Canis lupus familiaris: one gene and its partners. The protein of the gene in region 1 interacts with the protein of each later gene in a biochemical or structural test. Links are inferred from orthologs where the notes say so. Each region holds a gene or a part of one and is shown in the gene's direction. Other genes may lie near its edges. The genes, in order: NEDD4, PMEPA1, WBP2, MAP3K2, NDFIP2, PPARG and ESS2.

Evidence for each region.
Region 2: the proteins of NEDD4 (region 1) and PMEPA1 form a complex in vitro, tested with the Homo sapiens proteins (2 studies listed by BioGRID, with this or other methods). The link is inferred for Canis lupus familiaris from reciprocal best matches to the Homo sapiens genes NEDD4 and PMEPA1.
Region 3: of the proteins of NEDD4 (region 1) and WBP2, one has a biochemical effect on the other in vitro, tested with the Homo sapiens proteins (6 studies listed by BioGRID, with this or other methods). The link is inferred for Canis lupus familiaris from reciprocal best matches to the Homo sapiens genes NEDD4 and WBP2.
Region 4: the proteins of NEDD4 (region 1) and MAP3K2 form a complex in vitro, tested with the Homo sapiens proteins (2 studies listed by BioGRID and IntAct, with this or other methods). The link is inferred for Canis lupus familiaris from reciprocal best matches to the Homo sapiens genes NEDD4 and MAP3K2.
Region 5: the proteins of NEDD4 (region 1) and NDFIP2 form a complex in vitro, tested with the Homo sapiens proteins (3 studies listed by BioGRID, with this or other methods). The link is inferred for Canis lupus familiaris from reciprocal best matches to the Homo sapiens genes NEDD4 and NDFIP2.
Region 6: of the proteins of NEDD4 (region 1) and PPARG, one has a biochemical effect on the other in vitro, tested with the Homo sapiens proteins (2 studies listed by BioGRID). The link is inferred for Canis lupus familiaris from reciprocal best matches to the Homo sapiens genes NEDD4 and PPARG.
Region 7: the proteins of NEDD4 (region 1) and ESS2 interact in a test that uses a peptide from one of them, tested with the Homo sapiens proteins (2 studies listed by BioGRID and IntAct, with this or other methods). The link is inferred for Canis lupus familiaris from reciprocal best matches to the Homo sapiens genes NEDD4 and ESS2.

The regions. Positions count from the first base shown.
Region 1 is NC_049251.1:21,460,888-21,464,387, reverse strand, and holds part of NEDD4 (E3 ubiquitin-protein ligase NEDD4), read left to right. Parts: intron 1-2,073; coding exon 2,074-2,191; intron 2,192-2,282; coding exon 2,283-2,450; intron 2,451-3,500. UniProt on the Homo sapiens protein: E3 ubiquitin-protein ligase which accepts ubiquitin from an E2 ubiquitin-conjugating enzyme in the form of a thioester and then directly transfers the ubiquitin to targeted substrates. Specifically ubiquitinates 'Lys-63' in target proteins.
Region 2 is NC_049245.1:43,400,093-43,404,267, reverse strand, and holds the start of PMEPA1 (protein TMEPAI), read left to right. Parts: upstream 1-1,375; 5' UTR 1,376-1,405; coding exon 1,406-1,514; intron 1,515-2,675; exon of another isoform or gene 2,676-2,790; intron 2,791-4,175. UniProt on the Homo sapiens protein: Functions as a negative regulator of TGF-beta signaling and thereby probably plays a role in cell proliferation, differentiation, apoptosis, motility, extracellular matrix production and immunosuppression.
Region 3 is NC_049230.1:5,627,245-5,630,360, forward strand, and holds part of WBP2 (WW domain-binding protein 2), read left to right. Parts: coding exon 1-47; intron 48-1,329; coding exon 1,330-1,465; intron 1,466-2,768; coding exon 2,769-2,861; intron 2,862-3,116. UniProt on the Homo sapiens protein: Acts as a transcriptional coactivator of estrogen and progesterone receptors (ESR1 and PGR) upon hormone activation. In presence of estrogen, binds to ESR1-responsive promoters. Synergizes with YAP1 to enhance PGR activity.
Region 4 is NC_049240.1:24,633,169-24,636,668, forward strand, and holds part of MAP3K2 (mitogen-activated protein kinase kinase kinase 2), read left to right. Parts: intron 1-315; coding exon 316-464; intron 465-842; coding exon 843-974; intron 975-3,500. UniProt on the Homo sapiens protein: Component of a protein kinase signal transduction cascade. Regulates the JNK and ERK5 pathways by phosphorylating and activating MAP2K5 and MAP2K7. Plays a role in caveolae kiss-and-run dynamics.
Region 5 is NC_049243.1:32,872,612-32,876,111, forward strand, and holds part of NDFIP2 (NEDD4 family-interacting protein 2), read left to right. Parts: intron 1-1,781; coding exon 1,782-1,906; intron 1,907-3,500. UniProt on the Homo sapiens protein: Activates HECT domain-containing E3 ubiquitin-protein ligases, including ITCH, NEDD4, NEDD4L, SMURF2, WWP1 and WWP2, and consequently modulates the stability of their targets. As a result, may control many cellular processes.
Region 6 is NC_049241.1:6,278,951-6,283,176, reverse strand, and holds the start of PPARG (peroxisome proliferator-activated receptor gamma), read left to right. Parts: upstream 1-1,426; 5' UTR 1,427-1,514; coding exon 1,515-1,596; intron 1,597-4,226. UniProt on the Homo sapiens protein: Nuclear receptor that binds peroxisome proliferators such as hypolipidemic drugs and fatty acids.
Region 7 is NC_049247.1:30,206,461-30,209,960, forward strand, and holds part of ESS2 (splicing factor ESS-2 homolog), read left to right. Parts: intron 1-2,914; coding exon 2,915-3,030; intron 3,031-3,465; coding exon 3,466-3,500. UniProt on the Homo sapiens protein: May be involved in pre-mRNA splicing.

The DNA.
Region 1 (3,500 bases):
TTTCACATTTGTAATCTGAATACACTTTTGACCACTAATTTTCATTTTGAAGTTAGTTGTGTCTCAAATGGATTTATAATAGTATAGGAACCCATAAACTATAAAAATATGAGGATTTTTATGGTCCAGGGCTTTTAAAATGCCACCTTAACAGTTTCTTTTTTCTTTTCTTTTCTTTTTTTTTTTTTTTTTAAGATTTTATTTATTTATTCACGAGAGACACAGAGAGAAAGAGAGGCAGAGACAGGCAGAGGGAGAAGCAGGCTCCATGCAGGGAGCCTGACATGGGACTCGATCCTGGGTCTCCAGGATCATGCCCTGGGCTGAAGGCAGCGCTAAACCACTGAGCCACCCAGGCTGCCCAACAATTTCTTTTTTAAAATGATTTGATAACATTCAAAATTATCTGAGTCACAAATGCCACCCTTCTAATTGCTTCTTTTTAAAAATTATTTTGCAGCCACAGAAGATGTGTTTTTCTCTTTAGACTGGTTTAGAAATTCTTGGAAATTTTTGTAGTTTGTTACTGAAATATAATAAAATGTTAATTTCTACAGTAAACTATTTTTACATATAAGTTACCTGTAAAATATAAAGGACTGAATAACAAGGTTTTTGTTAAACACTCATTTGCCAATCTGGTCAATACATACATAATTTCCAGTGCACACAGATCAAGGATAGAATGACCTTTGAGGTATTCTAATTTATGTCTTCTCAGTGACATTTTTCTTTTATTATCATCAGACTGTATATTTATAAATAAACACATATGTCCCATTACTCACATTTATTATCAAATACCCTTCCATTTCTCCTCCCTTATAGCCTTATGAAGGCTTTCATTAGTCTACTTTTTGACAGAGACTTAAAATTTTTATTTGTCCATTAATTTCTAATTTTTAGCTCTCGCATTTTGTGTCTGACACAGTCTAAGCACTTTCATAGATATTTTCTGTTCTCAAATCCTTCCAAACCAAATCAGTGATGCTGGTTCTTCATGGCACAGAAGCATCAATCTTTGTAGGGACCTGTGCACCTTGCAAAACTGAAGACACTATGAAACTCTACAAAATTGTCCTACTGCATACCTTAGTATTACAGCAAGCCTGACTTGAACGGACTCACATTTCTTTCACTATGGTTGATGTCACTTTCAGCTAGCCTAAATCAGGTATTCAGGTGAGAAAAATCTGAAGTATTCCCCTATGACCATCTGTCAAAATTAAGTCTTCTTTAGCAATAGTGCAGTAAGAGCTGGTCTTTTGACTACCCTGGACTTATATGGCATTAAATAAATTAACAATAATTTTGTTATTAAATATTTGTATAAAATCTGATCTGATGATCTGGTTATATTAAATTCAAATAGCTAGAATAATAATACTCAGTGGGATAATGGTGTTCAGTCTGATTTACTAAACTTGCCTAAACTCAGTCATGTTTTTACTATTATTGTTTTTCAGACCAGGCCCATTTCTATAAATGATCAAAAACAGATACTATTTAATCTGTAACCTATTAAGTTTCTTACATGATATTTCATTTTGTCCTCTAAGTTCATGCATAGGGAACTCTAGTCTTGGCTTAAGATCAGTTCCAGAAAATGTTACTGTCTGGTTCTTGAAGCTGTATATGTAAATCTTAAAGCTTCTTTTTTATAGTCTCTCTATAGCTACTCTAGATTTTATTCATATAATAGCATGGCAAAATAATAATATACTAAAATTACTTATGAAACTCTCAGATATTCATTTATTTAACAAATATTTTTGAGTGCCCTTACATGCCAAACATTACCCTAGGTGTGGTGATGAACTAAAATATCAGTCAGATGTGTTACACATTTTCATAAAACCTTAATTCCATAAGGTACCCTGAAGATACCAATGTGCCCATGACCTAATCTATGCATATTGAAATAGCCTTTGGCCCAAACCAGTGAATTCTGATCTAAGGTATTTTATAAAATGGTCACAGCAAAAAAAAAAAAAAAAAAGTGGTCATAGCATCTTTGACTATCATTTTAACTATCTGCAGACATGGGTGACAGCTTTTATATTTCTAATCCAGGGACAACCTAACTGATGCTGAGAATGGTAACATGCAACTGCAAGCACAGCGTGCATTTACTACCAGACGGCAGATATCTGAGGAAACAGAAAGTGTGGATAATCGAGAGTCTTCCGAGGTAGAAGTAATTTTCTTGTTCTTGTCCATAGACACATATTATAGCAGTAGATAAAAGTATGTGTGGCTTACGATTATTCTGTTTATTTTAGAGCTGGGAAATTATAAGAGAAGATGAAGCCACCATGTATAGCAATCAGGCCTTCCCATCACCTCCAGCATCAAATAACTTGGATGTTCAGACTCATCTTGCAGAAGAATTGAATGCCAGACTCACAATTTGTAGAAACTCAGCCACCAGCCAGCCAGTATCCAGCTCAGTAAGATGCCCTTAGATTTTGTTGTAGCTTCAGGATTTTATATTCTATATATTATTCCATTTGGTATCCAACATTTACATAAAATTTTGTCTTTTATTTCTGGTTTTATTGACATGTAATTGACAACATTGGATTAATTTAAGGTATACAACGAAATGATTTGATAGATATTATAGCAAAATTATCATCACGGTAAGTCTAGTTAATATCCGTTACCTCACATAGCTACATTTTTTTTTTCTTGTGATGAAAAAATTTTGTCTTAAATGCATATAATAATGTTTTAGGGACTTTAAGACTTTACAGTATGGTTATTTTTTCAAATATTTCCACTAACAGTATGGAGCAAAGTCATGGATAATCCAAGTGGTCACTGGACTCTAAATATCCATTACAAACCAGTGCAGTGCCTTCCAGCCAGAGACCCCCAGGAATACACTTGCAATTAAACAAATTGGGTTTATTACTCATTTCATCAAGAACACACACCATGAATGTCTCAGTAAGAGTATGTTAAAAAAGACTTGAAGGATTGGAGTTCATGTTAGGTGATTTTGAGGAAGATTTAAGGAACCATTGGATGCTGTCAAGAAGCAAGAGTGTGGAGCGCCTAGGTGGTGCCCCATACCCTTGATTAAGCATCTGACTCTTGATCTCAGCTCAAGTCTTGATTTCTGGGTGGTGAGTTCAGGCCCCACATTGTGTTCCATGCTGGATGTGGTGCCTACTTAAAAAAAAAAAAAGCAGGGGTGATTCTGTGATTGGGTGTCTCAAATCTTATGTATAGCGAGGCTAAAGCTATAATTTGTTAAAAAGGAGTAGTCACTCACATTTGCCAGAATGGAGAGATATTTGGTATTTTGTGGCTTCGACAGTATTCATGTTTTCTCTGTCTTCAGGCATGATTACAAGGTGGTCTTCATTTTGTCTTGATCTCTACTGATGGTGCCAGGCCAAGTCCTGCATGTCAGGGGTCGCTTTTTTTCTTCCTCGTTATACCACACCTGTCACTAGCGCACATGTGTGAATAAGAACTGACATGCTTGGTCT
Region 2 (4,175 bases), on another chromosome or scaffold:
CCCGTCTCGGGGAGTAGGTACCAGGTTGAGTTCCTATTTGGCGAGTTCCTGGCACTAGGTAGGCGCTGCCCAAGCGCATGCAAAATAGAGACTGGAGCAGAGGTCCAGGAGGGGCCACACCACATTGTGGAGTCTGGAGGTGTGCCAGGGAGAGGACCTCTGACGTAATAGCTCCGTTCCTTTTTAAACCAGGAGAATGTGTTCTTGTAACACTTGTGTAATTAAAACTTAATGAAATAAAAGGACACCCCCGCACTTCCTCCCCCTCCCCCCGCCCCCCGCCCCCGTCTTTTGAACTCAGGAGGCGCGCCCCCCAGCCGGCGGCCCCTGGGGCAGCAGACGACCGCAGGGGTTTCGCCCCCGGCCCTGCCGGCCGGGTCGCAACTCGAGTCCCAGGACACGTATTTACATGACAAGGGCTCCCGGGCGTTTCTCGGAGCCGTCCGGGGCGTGTCTACACGAATTCCAGCCTTCCCCGGGCGACCTCCTTGGGGTCGGGGTAAAGTGCGCAGCGGGGGGCGCCAGGGGACTAGAGGCCTCGGTGTTAGGTAACGGGTGATGGGGGACCCCCCTCATCTTCTCCAGTTCCCCGTGCCCTGAGTCCAGGGACCTGCTCTGGGAGAGGACAGGCTTCCCCTAAACCTGGGGCGAGGATCCCGGGGACCCAGGACGCACCCGCAGCGCGCGGGGGCGAGGGTGCCGGCGAGCCGCGCTTCCCCGGGCGCCCCGGTCGGGCCACCGGCCCCCAACCGGCCCCAGGAGGGGCGGAGGCGCTGCGCGGCCCCCCGCCCCCCGCCCCGCCGGCCCCGGGTCTACGCGGGCCGCCTCGCTCTGGCCCTTTAAGAGCCCGCCCCCTTCCCCGTCACCCCGCCCCGCGGCCCGGGAAGGGGGTGCGGGGGAACCTCGGCGGGGATTGGCGCAGCGCGCGCCCCCTCCCCGGCCCCCGCGCGGTGGGAACCGGCAGCCCCGTCTAGCGCTGACGTCAGACCGTCTGCCTGCCTCCGACCGCGGTCTCGGAGCGAAACCCGATCTCCTTGGACTTGAATGAGGAGGAGGCGGCGGCGGCGGCGGAGGCGCTCGGCTGCGGGAAGCCAGCGGCGGAGGCTCAGCCCCGGCGGCCGCGCGCGCCCCGGCTGCCGGCCCATTTCCCGGACGCCACCCGCGGGCACTGCCGACGCCCCCGGGGCTGCCGAGGGGCGGCCGGGGGGCGCAGGGGAGCGCGGCCGCGCGCACTGAGCCCCGCGGAGCCCCGGGAACTTGGCGGCGCCCCGAGCCCGGCGAGCCGGGGTGCGCCCTCCCCGCCGCGCGCCTCCTGCATGCGGGGCCCGAGCGCCGGGCGCCGGCCGGAACCCCCCCCGGCCGCCCCCGCGCCCCCCGCGCCCCGCGCCGCGCCGCCGCGCCGTCCATGCACCGCTTGATGGGGACCAACAGCACCGCCGCCCTCGCCGCCGGGCAGCCCAATGTCTCCTGCACGTGCAACTGCAAACGCTCTTTGTTCCAGAGCATGGAGATCAGTGAGTGACCCCGCGCCCCCCTCCCCGGAGGCCCCGTCGGGCTGGGACCCCGAGGCCGGCCGCAGCCGCAGCCGCAGCCGCGGGCGGGGGCGGGGGCGGGGGCGGGGGCCCGGGCCGTGCGCGCCCCCTCGGGCCGTGCGCCCTGCGCCCGGGGCGCGCCCTCCTGGCTCGCGGCAGCTGGCGGCCGGCCCGGCTTTGTCCCGCGGCGCGGCGAGCCTGGCACGGCCCCCGCTGCCCGCGCCCCGCCCGAGGGGCCTCGGACCCGGGGCCGAGCGGCCGGGAGGGCGGCGGGGCGCGGGGCGCGGGAGGGCCGGGGCGCCCGGGTCCGCGAAGTTTCCATTTTATTTCCCCGAGGGGCAGTCTCGGTGGAGCAATTAGGCCGGCTCTTTATCAACTTTGGCTGGGGGGGGGGGCGGGGGGAGGGGGAGGGGGAGGGGGTGGCGGGCGTGTGAGACGCTGTCTGGCCTGCGGGGTGTCTGGGGCCCCGGGTGTGTGTCTGGAGTGTGCGTGGCGCTTCTGTCTCGGTCTGTGCGAGTGGGTTTCCTCGCGTCTGTGGAGCGTGCGTGTCTGTGTGTCTCTGTCTGGGTCTGGCGCGTCTCCGTGGCTCTCTGTGTCTGTGTGTCTGGGTCGCAGTCTGTCCCGGGCATGTGTAGTCTTCCTGCGCCCCTGCCTGTGGCCCGGTCGGGGTGCCTCTTCGGAGCGTGTGCATCGTTCTGGGGGCTTGGGGACCGTTTGTGCCCAGGTGTCTGGATCCAGGGCTCCGCGCCGGTGGGTCTGGCCCAAGGTGGATCTGGAGTGTGTGTCTCATTGTGTGAGTGTCTGTGTCCCCGACGCACCTATAAATAGCCTCTGTCTGGACAGCTTGGCTCAGCCTGGCTGGGACCGTGGTTACAAATGAGTCAAAGTTTGGGGCTGTCTGTGTTTGGGACCGCCTGGCCCTGAAAGGAGGAGATAGACCGAGGGTGGGGAGGGGGTGTTGGCAGCTTGGCACCAACTCTCCCTGTGCACCCAGAAGTTGAGACAAATAAGCCTCTACTTCCGCCATTCGGACCCCACTCGGGTAGAGGTTGGGTTGGGTGGAGCGCCGTCTAGCCTGTACCCCCACCCCCCACCCCCCACCCCCAGCCCATCCTTTGGTGTGTGTGTGTGGGGGGGTCTTACCTCTCTGGGCTTCGGTTTCCCTACCCTCACCCCTAAGCACCGAGGCAAGGGAGCACACAGCCCTCCCCTGCCAGGGCCAGCCTTCTTCCAGCTGGGACCAGGAGCCAGAGGCGGCCACCACTGAGCAGGGCAGTCACTGGGTGACTCATAAGCCAGTTTCCGCAGGCGGCTGCCACAGTGCGTGGCCCCTGAGCCTGTAGAGTGAGGCACAAGAGGTAAAAATAACCCGTGACCGGCCCTGCCGGGGCAGGCAGGCCAGCTTGAGTGGTGGGTCCTTCCATCCGTGAGCGTCCCCTCCCTCCAGCCCCGGGATGGAAAGCCTGCTTGTCCCCAACCACCCCCCACCCCCAACCCCCAAGCCGCCCTGCGCCAGGCCAGCGAGGTGCCAGGAGAACCTGCCCAGAGCCAGCATGTGCGGAACTGAGTTGCATTAAACCAGATTGCTTCCCAAAGGCCCTTTATGAACTCAGGAGGCTAATGAAATGCACGAGGATATTATTAAAATATGTTCGCACATGTTTGGAGAGAGCCTCGCCGGTGCTAAACGGATTGCTGTTTAAGTACCCGAGGTGCCTCATTTTCCCTCTTCTGTAAAGCTGCCTTAGGGCGCTCCCCACCCCAGGGGTCCCCGCTATTGTGTTGAACCTATGGAATCTGTCTTTAGGAGGACTGGACACAGGCATTTTGCTCTTGTCCTTCCTTTGTGTTCAGGACTTTTTTTTTTAAATTCATTCTTATTCCTGTCCCTCGTTAGGCTCTTCAGCCCTGATGGTATTTTGGCTGACACCAAGGTGTTGTTAAATCCATCGCCTTCAACCCGTGTGCTTCCCCCAGGCGGGCATCTGAGCTGGGCCCTGGAGGTTAGCGCCTGGAACCCTGGCCTGCTCCAGCTGGCCCCAGGGTGGTACATGAGTCACCGTGCACAGTGTATTTTTTACACACGGCCCCCTACTTACTGGAAGAAAGCCCAGGGCAGGAAGGGAAATGATCTTTCAAATGCAGGTATAATGTAACAGTTTGTTACAAGTGCTAATCAGATTTCCCCGAAAGGGTCTGGTGAGGAAGCCTGAAGGCCTGGAGTTTCTTTATACAAAAAAGATGGGGAGGAAAATTTGAAGTGAGGAAGAAAGGCCACATTTCATGTGATACGAGCTGGGGGGTTGTTCGCAAGCAGAACGTCAGAGATGGATTTGGAGCTGGGCTGCGGGGCCTTGTCCAGGTGGCCCTTGGTTGGTTCCTTAAATCGCCTTAGTTTCCTCATCTGAAAAATGAGATCTGGACGGTTGAAATTTAAAAAGCTTACCATCTTTCAAGATGGGGCCTCTGCCCTCCCAAGTCTGGCTGGAGGCTTCCATGCCAACGGTGGCTCCCCTCCCCCGGAACAGTGCTGGGTCCCTGGGGTGGTGTACAGTTGCCCCAAATCTCAGAGCTGGGTGGAGCCTTGGCCGGCTCGGGCTTTATAGATGAGCCTGAAGGTGGCAATGGGAAGCTTTGCTCCAG
Region 3 (3,116 bases), on another chromosome or scaffold:
CCTTCAAAGGGACCAAGAAAGGCACCGTCTACCTTACTCCTTACCGGGTGAGTTGCACAGTGATGGTGGGTTTGCAAGCCCATGGTTCCTGGAGGCCGATGTGAGTCTTATGTCAGCCTCAGCCTTATGGGTCCAGTGGCCCCTGAACCTGTGGCCAGCCCTCCCCATGTTTCTGTCATGTGCTCCCAGGTTCTAGAATCAGCAGACTCTGTGGGCAGCTGAACCAACCCCTGGGCATTGAATCCATGAAAATTCTGGAACCACTACTGTAAAATCTATGTTGTTGTGTGCAGCAGCTGGGGTGACTGGGGCCTGGGGCAGCAGGGGGCTGTTGTACCTTGATTTCTGTGAGAGCAGAAAGGGCCCACAAGGCCTTTGTACACATCCAGAGTGACAAGTACGGAAAACAGGACATAGTAGCATGGCCGGAGCCTCCAGTCTGGGCGGAAAGCCCAGCACAGCCCTGCAGAGCGAGAAGTGCCCAACTGCAGGATGGGCCTTGCCTGAGACTGAGCCAGGCCGACTGAGAGTCTTCCAGAGAAAGACAAATGGCCATTCTTAGAAAAGGTTCACTGCTTGTAGCTACCAAAAGTTAGATTTTTTTTTTTTTTAAGATTTTATGTATTTATTCGTGAGAGACAAAAAGGCAGAGGGAGAAGCAGGCTCCCTGCGGGGAGCCCGATATGGGACTCGATCCCAGGACCCCGGGATCACACCCTGAGCCGAAGGCAGACGCTCCACCACTGAGCCACCCAGGCGTCCCAAGAGTTAGATTTAAAGATGGTTGGAAGAGAGCGGCATATCTTTAAGGTTTTCATCACCGCAACTTAGAGACAAGGGAGCCTCAAAACCCCTTTTCTGGTGGCATCTTCAGTCACAGATTGAAGGGTTTAAAACGTAGTTTTCCAAGTGCAGGCTGGGAGACTTGCAGTTTGGGCAGCCCCCTTCTCCTGGGACCCAACACCCCCTACCTCTCCTTCACTCTGTTCTGTGAAGCTCAGGCTATGCCTCCCAGCCCCCTTCTGGAAGTCAGCACTGCCCTACCCTGCCCCCCTGCCCTAGCTTTACAGCTCCCCTCACTTGCGTACCACAGCCACCACTTAAACGGCAGAGCAGCCTGTCCCTCTCATGTGACCTGTGAGTGGTGTGTTTGTCTCGTGAACACCCACGTTCAGCCTCTCCAGCCAGGCCGCACGTAGGCCCTCTCACTTACAGAGCTCTCTCCGGAAGTGTCTGGTGCAGAGTGTGCCCTAGGGCTGCTGGGAAGTGATAATTGAGCGGGCTGGCCGTGGTGTGGCCACTGAAGGCTCTCTTCCTGTCTCCGTGCAGGTTATCTTTCTGTCCAAAGGAAAGGATGCCATGCAGTCTTTCATGATGCCATTTTATCTGATGAAGGACTGTGAGATCAAGCAGCCTGTGTTTGGTGCAAACTACATCAAGGGAACAGTGAAAGCTGAAGCAGGAGGTGGGTGAAGGGGGCTCAGGGCCACAGATGGGCTCTCAGGGAGGTGCTGGGGCACACCTCTACTGTCTCGGAGATATCCTCTTCCTCCTGGCTCTGGATTGGCTTCCAGGACCCAACCCTGGGCTGCGAGCTGGTCAGCAGGGGTGGGTTTTTGAATGACAAGAGCTAAGAAATCCTGACATTAAAAGCAGCTCATGTCACCTTTTCAGAGTGAAATCAGCCAAATGACTGAAAAATAAATGCTTACCGTAACCGGGGAGCATGTTCACATTCTAGGTATGGGAAACGACGTGTCAGACTCTCAGAAATGGTCTTTTTTTTTTTTTTTTTTTTAAGATTTTATTTATTTGGGATGCCTGGGTGGCTCAGCGGTTGAGCGTTTTGTCTTTGGGTCAGGACGTGATCCTGGAGCCCCGGGATCGAGTCCCACGTCGGGCTCCCTGCATGGAGCCTGTTTCTCCCTCTGCCTGTGTCTCTGCCTCTCCCTCTCTCTCTTTCTGTGTCTCTCATGAATAGATGAAATCTTTAAAAAAAAAAAAAAAAGGATTTGATTTATTTATTCACGAGAGATACAGAGAGAGAGGCAGAGACACAGGCAGAGGGAGAAGCAGGCCCTGTGTGGGGAAACCAATGTCGGACCCGATCCTGGGACCCTGGGATCACGCCGAGCCAAAGGCAGACGCTCAACCACTGAGCCACCCAGGCGTCCCTCAGGAATGGTCTTTTCTAGAGCCAGGAAGAGCCAGCGGCCCCTCTGCCTCCTGGAGAGGCCCTGCTTGGCAGCAGGCTCTTCTGCAGACACCAGAGACCTCTGTGTTAAACTTGGCCTCCCCCTTCCACCCAGCCAGGTGGCCTTGCTCTCTAGAGACTCATGGTTCCCCTTTGGCAGAAGCCAGGCTGGAGGAGCGGGGGGCCCATCCTTAGGCCCCTCAGGAGGAGAGAGATGCTCTGAACTTGAATGTCACTTGTTGCTGAGGAAACCTGCTCTGGGGAAGCTGCCTCATTGATGAGTGGGAGGCTCTCGCTGAGGAACTTATACAGCTGGGGGTGGGATAACAAGTTCCAAGAAAGAAAAGCCCCCTGTTCGAGAGAGTGAAGCAGGCAGGAGCAGAAGACAGGCCAGCCTGCAGCGGGCACATGCTGTGTGGGCAGCGCACCAGAAGCAGCCTGGCGGGAAGGCAGGCACTGCAGAGCCAGCCCTCTCCCCACGGGCACTGGAAGGAGACCTGTAGGGAACAGAGCCATCTCTTCAGCTGTAATCTGTGTTTTTTCCTGAGCCAGTAATGCCCTGTTCCCCTCCCAGGTGGCTGGGAAGGCGCTGCGTCATACAAGTTGACCTTTACGGCAGGGGGCGCCATCGAGTTTGGACAGCGGATGCTACAGGTGGCATCTCAAGGTATCCCGGCTCTGAAAGTGCGGGGTGAAAACATATATTGGAAACCTGTGGGTTTTAGTTTGTTCATTTGAGTTTGTTTACTTTTTGTTACTAAGCTAAGTCTCTGGGCCCCGGGCCGACCGAGGCTGGGAATTGGGAAGGAAGCTTGTCATTAGCTTGTCACTGTGGCCTGTATCTCAGAGGCTGGGTTACCCTGTCTGGAGCCTGGATAGGACATCTTGACACAGCTCTTTGGACTCCGAGACGTTTTACTGT
Region 4 (3,500 bases), on another chromosome or scaffold:
CTGCAGTAAAGATTAAAAATAGTGCATCTGACAATCAGTGGTACCTTGGATTCAGTGAAAGATGCTTTACATTTTTAATGGGGAGCAGATATAATCTCACTGGAAAAAAGATGTGGGGATATATGAACCTTATTTGTGTTTAGAATTCTTGGAAAATTTACAAAGTGGTGATCATTATGAATTTGGATGATTATGATTTTCCCTTATATCCAAGTGTATTCAGTTAAGGATATCATTAATACAGTTTACTCATTTAGTTTGTAACTATTTGTGTGCCATCTGGCTATTCCATTTTAAGAAAACATTCTTTTTTAGCACCTCGTGCTCCAACAAACTGGAGATTGGGCAAACTGCTTGGCCAAGGAGCATTTGGCAGGGTCTACCTCTGTTATGATGTCGATACAGGAAGAGAATTGGCAGTTAAGCAAGTTCAGTTTGACCCTGATAGCCCTGAGACCAGCAAGGTAAGAATCACTGCACAAGCTACTTTGTCACATTTATAAAAAGCATTTTTACTAAATATAACACAATAGAATTTTTGTTTTTTCTTAATACAAATTATTTGCAAAACAAATCCATATATAATTAGATATATTTGTTTACTCTGTACTGTGATTTTTTTTTTCTCTTTTAGTGCTCCGTAATGTTCCTATCTAATTTAGGGTTGCTTTAGTATACCATCAAGGACTGTTATAAAAGTTACTGTTTAGAGACTTTAAAATGTTTATTCCTTGGGAAGTAAAAATTTCAGAATGAAATCACCTCGATGGTCCATGAAGTTCAAATGTTTTCCTTTTAACTAGCAATGCTATAAAGACTTAACAGTGAGTTCTGTCTTTCAGGAAGTAAATGCACTTGAGTGTGAAATTCAGTTGTTGAAAAACTTGCTGCATGAGCGAATTGTTCAGTATTATGGCTGTTTGAGGGATCCCCAGGAAAAAACACTTTCCATATTTATGGAATATATGCCAGGGGTAAGTTGTTATGTCCTTTAAAAATAGACATTTTCTCTTTAAAGTCTTAGTTGAGGAAAGAAAAACAACAGAACTCTGATTATAAAATGTAAAGTAGTTAAGGACTTTAAAGACATTTTGAAAGTTTTAAATTAGAGCTATGTAATATAATTTTTTTTTGTATCTTCATTTTGTAGTTCTTAACTCATTTAAAAAAAAAAAAAGCTGAGGTATACTAAAGTTATAGGTACCATAGCAGTCCATACTCAGATTTCCCTAAATGCTCTTAAAATAACCGTAATAGCTGGTTTATCCAAACCAGGATCCAGCCCAGGACCACACATTACCTTTAACTGTTATGCCTCTTACTTCTCTTTTAACTTAGAACATTTTTTACATGACATAGGTTTGACAAAGAGACTGGGCTAGTTCTGTTGACAATCTCCTCTCATAGATTTCTCTAATTGCATCCTCATGGTAGTGTTTAATTTGTTCCTTTATTCTCTTATTTCCTATAAACTCCAAGTTAGATCTAATATCTAAATTAGATTAAGATTCAGCATTTTTTATTAGGTGCATCTGTGATGCATTCTAATGATGCTGTGCATCTCGTGTTGCATCGCATTAGGAGACATACAATTTCTAATGGTTCTACTGTTAGTGATGCAAAGATTGAGTGCTAGGTTAGGATGATCAACATCCAGATTTCTCCAATGTAAGGTTTTGTTTATTCCTGAGGACCAGAAAGTAATCTGGGCTATTAGCACATAAGACTATCTAGTTCCTGGGGTGCCTGGGTATTTCAGTCGGTTAAGTGTCCAACTCTTGGTTTCAGCTGACATCATGATCTCAGGGCTTGTGAGATTAAACCCTGCACCCTACATTCAGCTCCATGCTCAGTGGGCAGTCTGCTTGAAGATTCTCTCCGTCTGCTCCTCCCCCAACTCACATACTCACGTGCTCTCTCTCTCTCTCTCTCAAATAAATAAATCTTTAAAGAATAAAAAGAACACAGTTTCCAGTTCCTTTTCAAACCATCCTTTTCCAGGTTTTTAATACAGATTGGTAATCATTGCCTGAGTCAGTAGTTTCGGTAGGAGCTGCAAAATGTGACTTGCAAACTGTCATTCCTTCTATGTTGTTTTTAGTATTTGTAGAGTACATTTTAGTATTAATGATTTTCAAGATGGTGGTATATTTACTCATTTAAAAATACATGCATTCGTATAATTTAATTGGTAGTATATATGGTATATTACCTGATTTGATTTATGGGTCTTTAAGTAGATTTTTTTAAAAGATTTTATTTATTTATGAGCGGTACAAAGAGAGAGAGAGGCAGAGACATAGGCAGAGGGAGAAGCAGGCTAACCGCTGAGCCACGCAGGTTTCCCTAAGTAGATTGTTTATTAGAATTGTATGTTTCATGTACAAGGTTGCAGTTTAAGCTATGGATCTGTAAAACTATGGATCAGTATCTGATAGTCATAGTCTTAATCATCCAGTTTCATAAGATCAACAGTTAAGTTTACTTTCTTATTATCATGAATAATTAATTAATTTTTTATAGTGACACAATTGTTTATAGTTACACATCACTGCTACTTTGTATTTTCAAAGATCCTGTTGACAAAGTAAATTAGTTTGTTTTTTAAGTACCTTTGGAAAACAAATTTGTGATGGAAATATCAGTACTCACAGTGAAAGTAAATTATGATGGCATTGCCCAAGAGAATATATTAAAATCACGAAGGCTATGTAGCAAAGTTGGAAGAAGTAAGAAAAAGAATATAAAATGCTTTTAAATAGTAATGAGGCTATTTTAAAAATATCTGTATTTGGACAAGGACCCAAGAAACTTGAAAATGTGTTATGTTGAGATTATGATTGATTTTTCTTTTATTTAGATTTCCATTACTGTTTGGGCAATAAATATCTGAATTAGAAATAAAAATTAAGGCATGCCTGGGTGGCTCAGCAGATAAGAGTCTGCCTTTGGCTCAGGGTGTGATCCTGGAGTCCCCAGATCGATTCCCACATCAGGAGCCTGCTTCTCCCTCTGCTTGTGTCTCTGCCTCTCTGTCTCTCTCATGAATAAATAAATAAAATAGTTTTAAAAAAAGAAAAATTAATTCTAAGTGTGAATAGAGACCCACATTATTGAAGATAAGATTAAATGGTTTAATTGGCTAGAACTGATTTACATCACAAATGGAGATGAGTAATCTTATAGATTTAGGAATCTTAAGACTAAGGTGGTGTATTCAGGAGAGATGTTAGTTCATGTTTCTCATTAACTTTACTTGGTTTTGTAAAGGCAGCTATCTCTTCAAAGTATAGGTTGTCACTGAAATCATTTTACTAAATTAATAATAGTTCATCAGTCTTAAAATGAATTACACATATGCCAAGCATAGGCATATATGGGCCAGATGTACATCATCTTAGACATTACTGAATTTCTAAGTTTGTGAATGATGCTATATAATTTTTCTCATTAAATTTAGTAGGATGGGGGTACCTGGGTAGCTCAGTGATTGAGCATCT
Region 5 (3,500 bases), on another chromosome or scaffold:
AGGTAGAAGATAGCAAAATCAGCATCTAGTATAAGAAAAAAGAAAATTGAGTGTAAGCAAGTTTTATTTCCAGTAGCATCTCCTGATTTTTTTTGTGTTTTTTTTTTTTTTTTCCGGAAAAGATATAACCTACTGTATAAAAAATATGGGTACTAATAATGGTTAACATTTCTTAGCAATCACTGTGCCAGGTTCTTTACTGTGCTAAGCCCTTTAAATTCATTATCTCACTTAATCCTCTTATCAGCCTTGTGAAGTAGATCGTACAGATCAGAGAACTGGCTCACAGAAGTAAGCAGTGAGTCCCAGGTCATGTATCTAGTGAGTGATACATGTCACATTGTGATTCAAACACAAGTCTCTTAATTTCAAAATGCATTCTCCTATTGTATCATATAATATAGCTTACTATAAATGATCAAGAAAGCTGTGCCTAGAAGGCATTAGGAAGGAAGAAATTATAGGAGTAGGAAAATTGCTTTGAATAAATAGCTATTTTATTTAAATTTATTCTAAAATGTTTCCTCTTTGTCTTCAGAATCCTGAAAAATCAGCATTTCTCTATGTTTTCCCTGAGGGTTAGTTAGAGATATTGAGGATAAGAGGATGGGCACTGAACAGGACCAAAGTCCTGCTCAAATTGATTTTCACTTTTATTATCATTTCTATTATTATCTTAGACACACACAGATAGCGCATTCTGATGATATCTCAAGGACCTGTGTCGGAATGGTTTCTGCTACAAGTTATAGAAAACCCTTACTCAGCTGTTTTAAATAGGTGGTTATCTCACAAAACAGAAAATCCATAGACAAGGGGATAGACAAGCAGACTCAGCCACAGCAAGTATTAGTTCTGTGGCTCTGCTTTTCTTTCTCTTCACACTCTCTAGCCCATGTGGAGTTATACTTTAATCCTCTGGCTGAGGGCAAAATCCCTGCAGCATTTCCAGGTGTTATATTCAAATTAGAAATCCAGTGGATAAGGGGGATTTTTTTTTTCTTTTTAACATTTATTGTAGAAATTCTCAAACTAGGCAGGAGTATAACCTGTATGTATTTATCACTCAACTTCAACAATGATCAATTTAGAGCCACTGTTATTTAACCTATATTCCATCCTCTGTCTCCTTGATGTGTTTTTAAGAACCAAAGAATGCATTTCAAAGTCCTATTAAAAAAAAAAAAAAAAGTGGCAGGGGCTCCTGTGATTTTCCCAGACTACTCAGGACCCCTCTCTTTTGGGGTTAAGTATATGATCTAGCCTTCCTTAAAATAAAGACTCTGTTGGTGGGTGGGTTCCAGAAAAGGGGTAAAAGTAGGTTTTGTTAGATAGGAAGAGGCAATGAACAGTACCTCCTCTGGAAACATTTTATAATTTGTTTGGCTTATCTTTAATATTGCTTTTTAAAAAATCCAGTTTAGTTAGTTGATTGCTTAGGCTGGAATTCTTGGGTGGGATCACATGGGAGCTGAGCTACATTATGACTTGATTTTTAGCTGGTTTAAAAATGCAGTTTTACCTATTGATAAGTTTTAAGGAATTGATTCCTGTTGACCAGACTAACAAGAAACCAAGCTTATCTGTTTGTTAATGTGTAATTAATAACCAATATATTTGCAAAAGGTAAACTACGGCCTATAAAGAAGATTTAATTGGTACAAAGTCAAAAGAAAGGGAATTCTTACTTCCATTGTGCAATGAAGTATTGTTAATATTATGTCTCTGTTAATTTGTTTCCAAAGTGTGGTCCTTAAAAGAACTATTTCTCTTGCTTTTAGTGGCATTTATTTTCAACTGGCTTGGATTTTGTTTATCCTTCTGTATCACCAATACCATAGCTGGAAGGTATGGTGCCATCTGTGGATTTGGACTTTCATTGATCAAATGGATCCTTATTGTTAGGGTGAGTGTCTTAATAGCCTCTATCACTTTGATCTCTAAAATTAAAATCTATGAAATTTCTTGTGTGGTTCATAAATATTCCTTTTACATATATGAATCAATTATTTTGAGGCTTATCTTTTATACTTATTGTAGTGATCTCTGTGTTAACATTTTGATGCTTTATTATATGAGAGCTTACTATGGAAAGAGCTTTGAAATCAGAAAAAAATTTGAGTTTGAATCTTACTTATATCAGTGTCCTAACTTTAAATTTTTAAATTGTTCTGAGAATTTCTTCCCAATAAGCTGGTATTAGCTGCCTTTCAGGATTTCTGTGAGGCCTAGCAGTAATATAATTAAAGCACTTGCCTAGTTGCTGCACAAATACAGGTGCTTGGTAAGCTGTGGCTGCATCTGCTGTGATACAGTGCACACATGCCTAAAATCAGGTAAAACATAACATTTTCTGTTGGTTAGTAAAATTCTCAAGGACTTAATTTCATCTTCTCACTCTTTCTTTTTTGAGAGCTCAAAAAACTAAGACCTGTGAGGTGTCTATCTGAACTCACCCATTTTCTGTTATGTTCCCTTTCCACCTTTCTTATTTCCCTGTTGTTCCTGGAATTCACCCTTTATCTACTTCTTAGCACTTACCACATGGTGTGTAGGGAGATAATGCTAAGTCTTTATCCCATATCAACAGTTTGTCCCAAAATAATTTTCTGTAACCATTCCAGTGGCAGTAGCCCTGTTTGCATAGTCTTCCCCCACTCTTTACCTTTGCCTCTTGGAGGCCCCTTTTAGATCCTTTGGTTCCTGTTACAAAGCCTTTTCCCTAATTTCTTTATGTTAGACCTAGGAGAATGATCAAGAATGGTTTGGGGGCACTGAATGGCTCAGTAAGTTAAGCATCCAACTCTTGATCTCAGTTCAATTCACATCTTGATCCTCAGGGTCATGAGTTCAAGCCCTGCATTGGGCTTACCTTAAAGAAAAAAAAGAGTGATTTTATTTATTTTTTTAATGAATTTTCTTAAAAGTAACCCACATATTTACATGCTACTATACAATTGATAAAATGCTTAATTTCTACAAACATATTTATTTAAACATTGATTTCTAAATGAGTGAGTCACATCCTCCTAAAATATTCAGTAGAATCACATACTTAATGTCAGCTTCTCTTAAGTGCTTCAGACACTTCAGTTATGTACCTACATCAGCAAATTGATTTAAAAAATTAATATTGGACTTAATGTGTTTCTTCATTATTTTTGAAGTTATGGCTTCCCAGAGTTTCAGTAATTTTATCAGACCTCATTCATCTCTGTTCAGACCAAATTATAGATTTTGGTTATTAATCAGTTGATTCTTGGGTGCGACATGACTTGGCTTCTTCTGAGATGATTAAAACCTGAGCCAGTGTAAGAACAGCCCCCTGGCGGATTCTTTTTCTAATTTCATTTAAAAAAATGTGAAGTGGATTCCCACCATGAGCATAAATGTGTTAAGATGTTAGCATACAAAGATAAAGCACAATCCCTGCCCTGAAAAAAGTTATTACTAGAAAAACCTCAAAATAGTTGAAGTTAATTGTGTCCAATGGTTATTAT
Region 6 (4,226 bases), on another chromosome or scaffold:
TATTGAACCAAAAATGTTGGACTAGTCACACTTTTAAATATTATGATTGTGTCTGTAATACAAGGAAATTTCTCAGCATTGAGAGGGAAGGAGAAACTCCTTTATTGACAATTCAAGCTGAATAACCTAGTTCTACACACCTATAATTACCTCAGTCATTTGGACTGTCAAGGAGCTTGCTTTAACTTGAACTACCTTAGTAAAAGTTTCTTGGTTTTCAAAGGCTTTTAAGCAATATCAATGCCCAGTTCTCCACTTTATTCTGTGCTGTTGAGACCCTGTGAGCATTTTCCCCACCAGGCTGTTGCTGTGTGATTAACAGGGAAACTTTTGTTAGTTCCCCTGCAGGATGACCAGTTAGCTACTCAATGTAGATTAAATAGATAGACTTATTCCACTTGGAGAATACTGGGTTAAGTTGAAGGGAATTACTGCCATCTGGTATATCGCCCTAAGTGGGGGCATCTTTATTACATCCACAAGTCACTGCAATTCTATCAGGCCACTTATGTGACAAGTGGGGACCTGCTTCCATGCTGAAGTTTGGCACGGCTTGTGTTTCTCCTTGCCAAAAAGGGCAAAGGACTTGAGCAAGAAGCCAGCTTTCTCCTGATTACAAAACTGACCACAGTTCCTCGCCAACCTATCAGTGTGAGTCAATTTTTTTTTTTTTTTTTTTGGCTAATACATTATTCTTCTCAGAGAGAACTCCACTTTTTTTCATTATGACATGGCATTTATCATTTAAACATCTGCTATGTTCAGACATGGGTACAGCAGTACTGCCTTTGCCTAGTGATGGATAAACTTAATAATCAAGTGACTAAAAAAGCAAACCCTGATACACGACATCTAAACTATATCTCTCAACTACTTAATTTTATAGAATTTGTTAGTATCATTTTGGCCTTTCTAAAGTTGGCAAACAAATGCCTCAGAAAATAACATTTCAGCAGCATGCTGATGCCAAACTTTAAAATACAAGTACATGTTTTAATTAAATAGTTTTCTTCAGATAATAACAGTTTAGAGATTCAACCAGGGATGGGCAGCTACAAAAAAATGTTGTTGAAGTAAGTTTATCTGGTACTTCATAACCCAGAGATGTAAAGTTTAAGAAACAATTGAAAATTGAACAATCTCTTTGCTCCGATAGCTCTAAATACTGTACAACTCACACCCCTCACAAGACACAGAACATGTGGGTCACTGGCGAGACAGTGTGGCAATGTTTTCCTTGTAATGTACCAAGTCTTGCCAAAGCAGTGAGCAACATCATGACACAACATTTGTCACAGCTGGCTCTCTAACAGGACAGTACCAGCCAATTCAGGCCTAGTCCTTTGTGGATTTATTCCCACCTCTCCCAAATATTTGGAAACTGATGTCTTAACTCATTGGTTGTGTTCACAAGTTCTACTACTGCAAGTCTTTTTCTTTTAATGGATTGGTCTTTTGCAAGAAATAGACAAAATATCAGTGTGAATTACAGAAAATCCCTCTTCCATGCTGTTATGGGTGAAACTCTGGGAGATTCTCTCATTGACCCAGAAAGCGACTCCTTTGCTGATACACTGTCTGCAAGCACTTCACAAGGTAAAGTCAACTCCAGATACGGCTCTTGGGTTACTTTGGGCATTTATAGAATGGTAAAATTGCTCTTGTCGTTTGTTTTCCAAGTTACATTCTAGTATGAGTTGTGTCTAGGCCACTATTTTAATGTCTACTTTGCTGTGTTTGTGTTCACTTATAAGCATCAGAGCTTTGAAAAAGAAGCCTAAGCTAATCCATATTTATCTCTATGCATAGCTCCCATTTCCTGAATTTTAAGCATTAAAGGTATGTTTATATTTTTAAAGATCCTATTCATTTTTATTTTCTAGTTTTATATATTTTCCTTTTTAAAAAAATAATTTATTTATTCATGAGAGACAGAGAGAGAGAGGCAGAGACACAGGCAGAGGGAGAAGCAGGCTCCCTGTGGGGAGCCTGATGTGGGACTCGATCCCAGGACTCCGGGATCATGCCCTGAGAGAAAGGCAGATGCCCAATTGCTGAGCCACCCAGGTGTCCCTATATATTTTCCTAAATATACTTAAGGTCTTTTTAGAATACCTGGGGTGGGGGGAGTGTCCCTTTTCCCGTTTTATAGTCTTATGGTACATATCTCTCAGGCGGCTTTTATCCCTCCCACAGCATTTTTATTCCTCTTAAAGCTCTCTCAACATGTTTTTGTTCTACTTTGAAATCTAGATATTTGTACATGTTATCTTTCCAGAGAAGTGTACACTGAGTGTAAAACCAGCTTATAATCTTCTTTAGATTTCTTAGGATACCTAGCATGGTGCCTAATGCATTATAGAATAAATAGATTGTGGGGCCTCGGAGAATGTCTATTCCAAGCATTTCATTTTACACACAAAGAAAATAACATCCCTAAATGCCTATTGCATACTAAGTAAATGATTAGCTATTACTTGCACTCAAATATATAAGATTCAAGCAGATACCTCATTTTTCAAAATTCCTTTCTTGACCATTGCAAAATATAAGTTCTTCATTTCTACAGCTCCTTCTACTGGAGTTTCTTAGCACAGCTTCTTCTGTTTTGTACTGTTTCATATTTATTTCTATATTTCTGGTTATTTTTTCTCATAGATACTATGTAAAAATAGATTGTGTTAACTAGTGTGATTTGTGTTTTATAAAATAAGTGCTGAAGTGTTACAGTTAAGTCACTTCATTGTTGAAATGAATGCCTTTACATTTCAATGTGTTAATTTTTCTGGAAGCCTGAAGTTTGAACATACTAATCACTTGTTTTTTGCTTAAACACTTGGCTGTTTAAAAATTAAGAAAAAATATTTCCTGAAATACTATTTCATTCTCTTAGGGTGATTTGATTCAATATATATATCTGTCACCTGAGCCTCTTAAATATGAGTTTGGTTTCATTATATTATATAAAAATATGTTATTCTTTGTTTCTAAAAGCCATAGAAATTATTACTATCTTTCTCCAGTTATTAGTTTAGCCTGCTGATATCAGGATAGATGTGAAATAGTCCTTGAGTCAAAATTTGATAATTTTGTCTGTTTGCAAAAAATGTGTTCAGAATGTAGTGCAATAAATATTTTAGGTTAACTGAGGAAAAATACTGTTTATGGTAAGAGATAGTTATGTGATTCCAGTTAGTTTTCATTCTGTACTGATCTCTATATATTTATGTCTTGGATTTGCCCAGGGCCTAATTGTTTTGAGTCTCAAATCCCCTTCAAAGGAATAACTCAGTACTTTTCTTCTTAATTAGTACAGAATAAAATTAATAGCAATTAAGAAATGACATATTGTGCCAATTATTTAACTTTTGTTTATATGGTCTCTGATTACTTCTTATTCATGTTGTTTTTCTGTTGAAAATGTTATTCCTAAAGGCCAAACACCTATGATTGTTAACTTCAATTGCATTTAGACATATAGGGGGGCCTGAGTGACTCAGTTAAGTGTCTGTCTTTGGCTCAGGTCATGGTCCCAGGGTCCTGGGATGGAGCCCCACCTCGGGTTCCCTGCTCAGTGGGGAGCCTGCTTCTTCCTCTCCCTCTGCTGCTCCCCCTGCTTGTTCTCTCTCTCTGTCAAATAAATAAATAAAATCTTTAAAAAAAGAATTTAGACATAATCGTCATTTGCTCTTTGAGCCTATCAGAGATGAAACACTGTAGAGTTTAGGTACTTGGCTTTAATACAGTAATTAATTTAGGTGCTCCTTCTTCTTTAGACAAGGTGGGATTGGGGGTTGTTGCAAGTAGCTCGGTGCTACTTTGAAGTAAAAGTGGCTTGTTGAGTGTGAATGATCCAGATGTCCAAGCCATATGGGTCATATTCATGAGATTCAAAAATTTATGTAGCCACTATGCCCAAAGAGGACTTCTGTGCTTTTCCTGGGCTCCATTATCACAGTGACCTCCTGCCTTTATCTTATTCCCCTATTTTCATCATGAGCTTCTCAAGTAACCCCAAGTAACCCCATTCTGGCTCTGAAACCATTTCCACTAGTAAAAATTGGCAAGACTGAAGGGAAGCTTCCACAAACTGAAGCTGAATATGCCTCCTGCTTTTAGTGCCAGACTTAGTCCTGTGTGAATTCTATAATTTTAAAGTGTTGCACCAGAGCATTGAAAGATGATGACATGCTTGTCCTTTGGAGCTGATTGAGCAATGGAAATAT
Region 7 (3,500 bases), on another chromosome or scaffold:
CTGCACTTCTGAATAAGACCAGAGCACTGCGCACAGGTGTGGGTGAAGGGAGGGACTCCGGTGTGGGGCTAGGGCACCAAAGCTATGGCCCTCTGAGCTTGTAGGCCTGTGGGGTGGGAAGGGCCCTAGAACCCCAGTTTTCCATGGGATGTGGTTTGTGTCCTCAGAAGGATTGCGTGCTTGCAGAGAGAGGCCTCCGGTTAGAGAGCATGAACCAGGAGGCACCAGTTTTGTAGAAGTTGTCAGAGGGGGTGTTTCATGAGGCCTGGACCAGGTAGGGTGGGGAAGCTGGGTGCCAGGTGGTTTGTGGAGATCGAGTGGCCTAGGCAGGCCCCAGAGAGGCTTTGGGAAGGCAAGGTGCTCCGGTATACACACAGTTTGTTGGGGAAACTGAGTGACTGGTGTAGTTTGGAACAGGAAGGAAGAGAAGTCGCTGGAAGCTGGGAGCATGCAGTCCTGTTCTCAGGGTGCTGGGCCAACACTCCCTACCTGGATTGCTAGGAAATTGCAGGAGGCAGAAGTCAGTGTTGTTGCAGAGAACAAAGGGTGTGGGGTTACATCATCTGCTTTGAAATCCCAAAGGGTTAGGCATGGAACCTGCCATTAATGTAGGTCTGCCGCGTGGGGAGCTAGGCTAGAGGTTGTCTTGAACTGGTTCCTCTAAACACTTGCAGTGTGTAGTTTGAAATGCAACAGAAAAAGAGATCTTGGGACGCCTGAGTGGCTCAGCGGTTGAGCGTCTGCCTTTGGCTCAGTGCGTGATCCCGGAGTCCCAGGATCGGGCTTCCTGCATAGGGCCTGCTTCTTTGCCTGTGTCTCTGCCTCTCTCTCTGTGTGTCTCTCATGAATAAATAATCTTTAAAAAAAAAAAAAAGAAAAGACAAGAAATATCTCATTCACTGTAGCAGAAGAAGTTCGGACTAACTAGCAGTAACTTAGCTTTCATAAAGAAACCACAGGCTAGTGCTACAGGCTTATGTAAGGAAAATCAGAGAGTGTGGGCCACACTATGCTGCCTCCCCGTAATAGCACTGCTCTCGTTCAGAGAAGGAACACACATCCAGACAGAATGTATGCAGAGGATTTTGGCACCTTGGTTCTTAAATTTGTCTGGGACCCGAGGATAACCAAGAAAAACCGGAGAGGAGCCTGTGCCAGCAGGTGTCAGGGCACGCTGGGGGTGTGGGGATATCACAGGTCTTCCCCTGGTCCTGGAGCCTACCAGGCAACAGGGAAGAGATCATGAACAAACCTCAGTCCAAATCCGAATTCAGGGTACCTGAGAGACGACCGTTCAAGCTGTGCTGAGCAAGAGCATTTGGACATAAAGTGCTTGGTACGCACGGCAGAATGAGTTCCCGAAGTGGAAGGGTTAAGTACAGAAAACGTAAATACAAAACAATAAGAAGACAATAATAGTCAATGTTGTTTTTTTTTTTTTAAACCTCCCATCTCTAAGTGCTAGTTTTTGTTTTTGTTTTTTTTAAGATTTTGTTTATTCATGAGAGACACAGAGAGAGAGAGAGGCAGAGACACAGGTAGAGGGAGAAGCAGGCTCCATGCAGGGAGCCCGATGTGGGACTCAGTCCCGGGACTCCAGGATCATGCCCTGGGCTGAAGGTAGTGCTAAGCCGCTGAACCACCCGGGCTGCCCAGTAGTCAATGTTTAATCTGAGATAAAGGTAGGAAGGAGTAAAGCAAAGAGAGACATCATGGAAGAGATATGGAAGCGAGGTGTAGGTGATACCATGTGAGGTGTAGGCTTAAGTACAGCAAAAAAAAAAAAAAAAAGTCATGAATGACACTGAAAGCAAATAACTGAGAAGGAGTTTGTTTGGCAGAGCTTAATGTAACATTAACTTAGAGTAAAACCTTAAGAAAGCAAGCACTTTATTTGTTTATTTATTTATTTATTTATTTATTTATTTATTTATTTTTTATTCTTGAGAGACAGAGAGAGAGAGAGGCAGAGACACAGGCAGAGGGAGAAGCAGGCCCATGCAGGGACCCCGATGTGGGACTCAATCTGGTGTCTCCAGGATCACACCCCAGGCTGAAGGCAGCGCTAAACCACTAAGCCACCAGGGCTGCCCCTAAGCAAGCACTTTATTTATTTATTTTTTAAAGATTTTATTTATTTATTCATGATAGTCACAGAGAGAGAGAGAGAGAGAGAGGCAGAGACACAGGCAGAGGGAGAAGCGGGCTCCATGCAGGGAGCCCGATGTGGGATTCGATCCCGGGTCTCCAGGATCGCGCCCTGGGCCAAAGGCAGGCGCCAAACCGCTGCGCCACCCAGGGATCCCTAAGCAAGCACTTTTTTTTTTTTTTTTTTTAATTTTAATTTTTATTTATTTATGATAGTCACACAGAGAGAGAGAGAGAGAGAGGCAGAGACACAGGCAGAGGGAGAAGCAGGCTCCATGCACCGGGAGCCCGATGTGGGATTCGATCCCGGGTCTCCAGGATCGCGCCCTAGGCTGAAGGCAGGCGCCAAACCGCTGCGCCACCTAGGGATCCCAAGCAAGCACTTTAATAGAAAAATAAGACAAGGATCTATTTCGGGAAGTTCTGGAAAGAAATAGAGAAGGTCAATGGAAGTTAAAGTCAACAGGCAGTTTATTCTGGTAATCAGAGGAAAGCAGATTCAAACCAGACCGCCTTTTTCCTAAAAGACTGTCGGGTTCGTAAGTTGGCAGTGCTGGCTTGTGGGGAACTGTGAGGACAGGTGGGAGGCCTGGGCCTTTGCGGGTGGGCAGCTCACCAAGCTGGTCAGGGGCCTTCCGGGGGCTTTTAGGGAGGCAATAATGGGTTGTGAGGATCGCAGGGGGCCACGGGAGAGAGGCAGGTGCCCCAGCAGCGAGGGACTGCCTGACCTGGCAGCAGGCCACCCACACACCCACTTGCCTCATAGATCTTGGAGCCTGGCCGCAGGGAACGGCTGGGGCTGAAGATGGCCAACGAGGCTGCCGCCAAGAACCGGGCCAAGAAGCAGGAGGCCTTGAGAAGAGTGACGGAGAACTTGGCCAGGTATGAAGTGCCTGACCCCACCCAATGCAGTGTGGACACACACTGTGCAGGGCAGGCCCAGGGGTCCTGTGCCGGTTCCTGTGGCGGCTCCTCGGGTCCAGGGCGCAGCCTTTATGAACCAGGATGCAGGCCCCTCTGTCCTTTCCTTCAGCCTCCTCTCGGCACATCTCTAGGGCCCCTTGTCCCACTTACGCACACCTGTCAGCCCTGTGGGAGCAGGTGTATTGTCCTCCTTGGAGAGACAGGGTCCATCCAACCCCACAACTAAAGGCAGCACCACTACTTGACCTTAAGTTTGGCTACAGTGCTGTATGGTCAGCCAGTAGTGACCACACATCACCCATGTATCTTCCTGTGGGGCCATGGAAAGCCCTGCTGCTGGCAATACCTGATCAGGCCTAATGGTGCCTCTTTCACCCACCCCTTCTACCCCAGCCTCACCCCCAAAGGCCTGAGCCCAGCCATGTCCC